2 linked regions of the Arabidopsis thaliana genome follow. The protein of the gene in region 1 interacts with the protein of each later gene in a pairwise test. Each region holds a gene or a part of one and is shown in the gene's direction. Other genes may lie near its edges. The genes, in order: ABCC4 and UMAMIT11.

Evidence for each region.
Region 2: the proteins of ABCC4 (region 1) and UMAMIT11 interact in a protein complementation assay, tested with the Arabidopsis thaliana proteins (one large-scale study listed by BioGRID).

What each region holds. Positions count from the first base shown.
Region 1 is NC_003071.7:19,572,409-19,576,344, forward strand, and holds the start of ABCC4 (multidrug resistance-associated protein 4), read left to right. Parts: upstream 1-2,257; 5' UTR 2,258-2,535; coding exon 2,536-3,936. Other genes in the region: AT2G47790 (Transducin/WD40 repeat-like superfamily protein), read right to left, coding at 1-4, 95-308, 390-538. UniProt on the Arabidopsis thaliana protein: Involved in the regulation of stomatal aperture. May function as a high-capacity pump for folates.
Region 2 is NC_003071.7:17,064,102-17,068,037, reverse strand, and holds the start of UMAMIT11 (nodulin MtN21 /EamA-like transporter family protein), read left to right. Parts: upstream 1-2,224; 5' UTR 2,225-2,523; coding exon 2,524-2,711; intron 2,712-2,805; coding exon 2,806-2,868; intron 2,869-2,954; coding exon 2,955-3,071; intron 3,072-3,270; coding exon 3,271-3,496; intron 3,497-3,857; coding exon 3,858-3,936.

The sequences.
Region 1 (3,936 bases):
AAACCTGAAACACCCATGATCAACTTAAATTCAATGAGTTCCGAAAATGGAATCACATTTACGACAGAATTTATATAAAAAAAAAAAAACTCACCTGTTGGAAACTTCGAGTGTCCCAAGATCTAATGGTACCATCGGAGGAACAAGAGTGCAAAACGTGAGGAGACGCCGCCGAGTCGGAGGAAAACGCAATCTGATTGACGGTATCGGAGTGGCCTTTACATTCGCCGTAGTACTGACCAGTCACCGGCGAGTAAAGCTTGACGGTGTTGGTTGATAAGGAAACCGCGATTGCTGTCCAATCGATTCTGTCACAAAACCAGAGTTGGGTTCACTTTCAGTAAACTAATTAGTATGGTTATCGAAAAGAGAGAACAGAAAGCTTTTACTTTGGGACAATCTGGAAGACGTAGTCAGAGCCGAAGTTGGTCTGAATAGAGTTCTTGAGCCCAAATTTCTTCACGTTTTGAGCCGGAGAAGAATCCGAAAGCTGACGATTTTGAACCTCCACTTCCATCTCCGACGACACTTCTTCCATTTGCCGTTTCAGCGAAATTGATAAGGGTTTTAACGGTCTAGGGTTTGTTCGTTGATCAAAACGAAACGAGGATTAGCACTTACCTCTCTAAGTCATAGAGAAGGTTATAACTCTATAGGTCAAAATTTAGGCCTGTTTTAACCTTTTCGGCCCATTTAACGCACGGTCCAATACGATTATTAGCCCAAGGAAACAACAACCAACTCGCTCGCTCACCGTGCGCTTCTTCTAAACATGTCCATAGAAACATAAACATACTAAAATGTGAAAAGATTAAATTAAAAAACGGATAGAAACATATAGAAAGCCACGTGATGGTAGCAAACAGATTTAGTGGTTACAACCAGATATCATTTGATATTGAGATTTATGAAAATGTCCTTTTTCAATGGCTCCGATCGGTCAGTGATCGGATCTAATATTATAAAGGTGTGTTGACCCATAACATAATATTATTACTAATACAAGTAACATGCGGTAATTAACTCTATGTCGATCTTTTTTCTCTGCATATATATCTTTTAGTCGGTTTTTTCGTTCTTGCTAATCGTTATATTCCTCTACACATGGCAATGGAAAAGAAACGAGTAACAACAACAAGTAGCCTGCAAATAATTAAGTGCGATAAGACAACTCTGCTCTGATTGGAAACTGATATTCCGGCCCGTCCCCCTTTTATTACGTAGGAGTAATAAAATTGGGAACGTCAACTTATATTAATCATGACGACGTTTTCTCAAGGGAGCAAATTGTACGTTACGTCTCATATTATCACCACTTTTTTGCAGCAACACAGTTTTATTTCACACAATACAACAACACTTTATATTATATATGAGAGTGATAGAATTTTATCATTCCATATTTCCATGATATAAAGGGTTCCAATAATTGGTCCAATTTTTCTAATAAGACTTTTCTTATTCTCATAGACTCTTCTTATTCATCTTTCTTAATCAATTCGACCAACTCAGTGGAAGACAAATCTCACACGACCCTTTCCACTTTTTGGTAACTTTATTATTAATTTATTAGTATGGTGTAGTTCCTTTCTTTCTTCTGCTGATCTTGTCAACAAAATACTAAATTTTTCCTAAGCGGCTGTTTATATATTATTAACAAAGGTTTCCGCGTGTCTCTTGTTTAACTAGTAGACTAAAAACAAATCGTAAACTCGATTTTCTCAACCAAATTTAGAAGATACTACGGCATGTAATTAGCTAATGATAAAAGATTCGAATTTTCGTTCCAATGGATTTGTCTTTTCTTTTGCCCAAAACCAAGAATTTGTCTTCTCTTGGCAGTATTTAGCTAGACAACGCATATAGCTATATATTTTGTGTACACTGGTCAAGGTCGTGGATACGTCATTAATAATATTATTTCCAATAAGTCCTATTAAAACATTAAACAACTTTGAGTTTTAAAACAAACTTAGTGTAAAGAAAATAAAAATAGCAGACAGTTTACGGGTAAGACTAGATGACCATATATGATTGAGTGCATAAAACATCTTTTTTCTTTCTTTTTTTGAAAAAGCGAAACTAAAAGATTATTAGTTGTTGGAAATCAGCTTAGCGTAATCTTCGAGAAAATGACTCTAATGCTAAAATACTGATTTAATCAATTTTCTAATGGTTTGACCCAACAGACTTTTTTTTTTTTCTATCCTCTAATAATATATAATCATATAGTAGTAATTATTTAGTAGATAATATGATTAACACGTGAATAGCAAAGTTTCTATCATTTTTATTCAAAAAAAGATTCATAAGTAATAAAATGATAGTCAACTTTTCTTTTTCTTTTTGTGTTTGGCCTTTTGTTGCAGCGTCATTGTTGTACACCACCAGTCACACTATTGTGGGATGTGATAATCGGTACCTTTTAATGTCAGGAGCTTCTTTCTTACATTTTCCACTTCAAACAAACCGATAATTCAGAGGAATTTTCTCTTCCTCTCTCTCTCTCTTTTTTATATTTTTTCACTGGGAAAAATGTGGTTGCTTTCGTCTTCTCCATGGCTCTCTGAGCTCTCATGTTCATATTCGGCTGTTGTAGAACATACGTCTTCAGTTCCAGTACCAATCCAATGGCTCAGATTTGTTTTACTCTCTCCTTGCCCTCAACGCGCTCTCTTCTCCGCCGTTGATTTTATATTCCTCCTCTGCTTCGCTCTTCACAAGCTCTTTTCTTCTCCTTCTTCTTCTTCCGAAATCAACGGACACGCTGAGATTAGGAAACCTCTTATTGGTATCCGTGGAAGAACCCCAACCAGAACAACCGCATGGTTCAAAACGACGGTCGCAGTCACCGTTCTATTGTCGTTTTGCTCCGTCGTGCTCTGCGTTTTGGCCTTCACTGGCAAGCGACGGACTCAGAGACCATGGAACCTCATAGACCCGCTCTTTTGGCTTATTCACGCCGTTACACACCTAGTCATCGCCGTTCTCGTCCTCCACCAGAAGAGATTCGCTGCTCTAAATCATCCCTTATCTCTACGAATCTACTGGATTTCCAGTTTCGTCCTCACGTCTCTCTTCGCCGTCACTGGGATTTTCCATTTTCTCTCCGACGCCGCCACGAGTCTGAGAGCAGAAGACGTCGCTTCATTCTTCTCCTTCCCTTTAACCGCCTTTCTTCTCATCGCCTCCGTCAGAGGAATCACCGGCCTCGTCACAGCGGAGACCAACAGTCCTACGAAACCATCCGACGCCGTTTCGGTGGAGAAATCCGATAACGTCTCTCTCTACGCGTCTGCTTCTGTTTTCTCGAAAACGTTCTGGTTATGGATGAATCCTTTACTCAGCAAAGGCTACAAATCTCCACTGACGCTCGAACAAGTCCCCACGCTTTCTCCAGAGCACAAAGCAGAGAGGCTCGCGCTTCTCTTCGAATCGAGTTGGCCCAAACCGTCGGAGAATTCTAGCCACCCTATCCGTACGACTCTACTCCGATGTTTCTGGAAGGAGATCCTCTTCACCGCGATTCTAGCCATCGTCCGTCTCGGCGTCATGTACGTTGGTCCCGTTCTCATCCAGAGCTTCGTCGATTTCACCTCCGGCAAGAGATCCTCCCCGTGGCAAGGTTATTACCTCGTCCTCATCCTCCTTGTTGCCAAATTCGTCGAGGTCTTGACGACGCATCAGTTCAATTTCGATTCCCAGAAGCTTGGGATGCTTATAAGGTCAACTCTAATCACTGCACTCTACAAGAAAGGTTTAAAGCTCACAGGCTCTGCGCGTCAGAACCACGGCGTAGGACAAATCGTGAATTACATGGCCGTAGATGCACAACAGCTCTCTGACATGATGCTTCAGCTCCACGCAATCTGGCTCATGCCTTTGCAAGTCACTGTTGCACTAGTGCTTCTCTACGGGAGCCTAGGCGCGTCTGTT
Region 2 (3,936 bases), 2.5 Mb from region 1:
TTTACGTGGAATCCACACATCCGCACTTGCATGACACAAACTGCACCTTTTCATCTGTTTTTTTTTTTTTTTAATTTGAAAGTTTTACACCCAATGGTGCTAATTTTAGTAGCCACATACATAACTATAATATTAAAATGTGCAAGAGATCATTACATAATTGGAACGAAATTTTGATCATGAAACATATGGTTTACACTAATACACGAATAGAAATCCTATTATGATGAGTTCATGCATGATACAGTGGTTGGTATACTTCACTATAAATTTATATGATCTTGAACTCGAATATAACATAGAATGATCATATATATATATATATATATATATATATATGAAGACATTCCAATATTGTTACTATTGTTAAATAATCAACATCATATCATTTGTACAACACTAGTCAGTTGGTTCAATCATAATACTTCTAAAGTACTTATGTTTTTATACATGCAGACGAGTGAGCGTGAGACATTTCCTCTATTTGGATAAGTATATTGAATTATTAATTATTAACATAATGGATAGTTTAAATTTCAAAAAAATAACAAAAAAAATAATGATGGATAGACTAGAACCTCCAATTAAAACAATGCAAATCAAGATGTTGAACCGATCGAACCATCAAACTTTTTCGGATTGCATAATAAAATAATTCGTCTTTGTTCTCATTCTCACCGTGCATATACATATCAACAAAGTCATGCGACCTAATATAATACAGTTGAATCTATCTAATTTTTTTAAAAAAAATTAAGATACGAATTCCACACAAACCTTCTCCAACTAAGTAAAGTAGCCACTATTGTCACTTAAAGTGACATTAATGCATATTCTATAAAAGATAATGGATGCCCAACTAAACATAAGTGAAGTATTTGGGATATATAATAAAACAAAAGAATCCAATGAGTTATGCTATGTGGTTAGCTTTTGTTCACGAATTTATATATTGTATAATATATGAGGTTTACATTTCGGATAAGCAATTCTAGGCAGATCGATGATATGTACGCAAACATGTATAGATGTATTCAAGAATTGAGTATATAATTGCTTATCCGAAATGTAAACAACAGGTATGAACATATATAATTAAGTGCCCAAAACAGAACATATATTCAAGATTTTCTTGTACTAATAATATTCTTTTTTTTGGTAAGGTGTTCTAATAATATTCTGATTAGATTAACTTTTAACCATATATAACTCATAATTATTTTGTTACGTAACTCTAAAAATATCTGGGGTTTTATTTCTTTGTGAAGAGATCGATAACAGACAAGACATGTAACACATATTTTGTCCACCTTAAATTTCTAAACATGAAATGTAGTTTTGAGATATTGGCCGGTCCCAATGTACGTAGGATTGAACCCAATTGATTATTGCTGCCACGTGGAACTCAATCTGTCCACTTATGCTTCTTCATTGATTTAACCTCTTATTAAAGATCGATGATTTATGACCATGAATGTAGTAATTAGGATAGAGGTGGACATACGTCAGATTCCACACGTATATAACCCCATATTAGCATTACAATGAGTTAATCTTTTTGCAGAGGTCGGTCGATTTGTCAAATTTCTACTATACATTAACCAAAAGATATTCTACTATATATTAAATAAAGCAATTAGCTTATGATGGTGATGAGTCATGAGACCACATATATCGAAAACCACGGTAGACTAACAATCGCAACAATTTTTCTGTGGCTTTCAAGTTTCTTTTAATCTTTTAACAATACGCTAATCCGATCCGGCTAATTTTAGTTCAGTTTGGATTTTGTGATTTTATAGACAAGTCCACAGTTTAAAAAAAAAAAAAACCATGTTTAAAGCCAATTGCATGAATAAAATAATTTACATGCATGTTAGAATTACGTTTTAGTGTCCATATGTACTTATTAGTTTTTTTGTTTTTTTTGCAACTACAACATATACTAATGTTGTTGTTTTTTGTGCAACTAAAACATATACTACTATAAACATGTAAATTTTGATTGTTAAGAAATGAGGTGATGTTAATTAATCACTTGTTCCACACTGATCACACTTTTAACCTCGACTTTTAGTAGCCACAAGTTTTATTTAAAATCCTAATATGATTGGTTTCACGAAGTCATATAAACAGAATATATATATGTAGAATGTTTTATCCACTTACTTTAGAGATAATGAATTCATGACACCCAATTCTTATGCCGAATCAAACCGGAATAATTAACGCTAACGTCACCGAAAAAAAATAAAATAAAAATAACAAAAATACAAAGGAAGAAATCAGAGAACACTGAACATATCCGAATAATATGCTATATATACAAAGAACCTCTCACCACTTGGTTCTCAGGAAAAAGCACATTCTCCAAGTGTTTCTCTCCTCTCTTTTCCTAACTCAGTTTTCTTATATACATAACACTAATTTGACAATTTTTTTGTCCTCGAGGATCCTAAAATAACTCCAAAACTTTGATTGGTTTTTCTTGCTCTAAAACAAAAACAAAAACAAAATATTAAGATGGGATTAAGGATGTCAGAATCAGCTAAACCTTATTTTGCAATGGTCTGTCTTCAGTTCGGATACGCAGGTATGAACTTAGTAACTAAAACCGTCCTAGACCGCGGTATGAGCCATTACGTTCTTGTTGCATACCGCAACGCTTTTGCCACAGCCGCTATCGCACCCTTCGCTCTTCTCTCCGAAAGGTACATATTTCTTCTAAAGAAATCGATTCTCGCAAGACTTAGATTTTTTTTTTTTTTTGGTAGTAATAATTATGTATTGGGGATTTTTTTGTAGGAAAGTGAGATCAAAGATGACGTTTCCAATATTCATGCGAATATTTCTTCTTGCTCTTCTCGGGTTAGTCTTCTAACAGAACCGTTGATATCAAGAAGATTTTGTAATAATTACGATTAAGGCTAACATGGAAGGTTTAATTTGAACAGGCCGGTGATTGATCAGAACTTATACTATATCGGTCTAAAACTCACATCACCAACGTTTTCCTCCGCCGTTAGCAACATCGTGCCTGCAATTACCATTATCCTTGCCACACTTTTCAGGTAACATACAAAAAGCAACTTTTTTATTATTTACATTTATTCATTTAACCAAAGAAAAAGATACGTTTTATTATATTTTGGTACGTGGATATGCACCAATTCAAAAGTAGATGTATAGTAGTACAATTAGTGTATGACGATCGATGTCATAAATTATGAATATTGATGTGTGTGTTTTATGTAAATATTTGTTTTAAAGGATGGAGAAAGTGGAGATGAGAAAAGTAAGATGCCTGGTAAAAGTGATGGGGACGTTAGTGACAGTGGTTGGATCCATATTGATGATATTCTACAAAGGTCCTTTCATTAATTTCTTCCGGTCTCACCTCACGGCCGCCTCTTCGCCGCCGACGGCTGACTATCTTAAGGCTGCCGTCTTCCTACTCCTCGCTTCCCTCTCATGGGCGTCGTTCTTTGTTCTTCAGGTATGTATCAATTATATATTGATCCTGTGTATAATATAACTCACTTCTTACATCACTAAAAAACGTATAATATAGTTTTTAGGATTAGTTTTAAATTTCCATCAACATAGGAAAATATAGTTTATGCACCAAACCATGTAGGGGATACGTAAAAGTAATATAAAAAATTTGAAATTTTAGATATAGTATTAATAATGTTACTGGGATGTTGTTTCTAATTTTTCATGTTATATAATTTTTAAAAAAATAATTGGGTTAACTATATCTAAAATAATAATATGATTGGAATTTTTTTTCACTGTTTTCGTAATATATAAAAATATAGATTTAACGAATTAGGCTTTTATATTTTGTTAAATAGGCTGCGACTTTGAAGAAATACTCAGCCCATCTCTCAATGTCAACAATGGTGTGTTTCATGGGAACGTTACAGTCTTTAG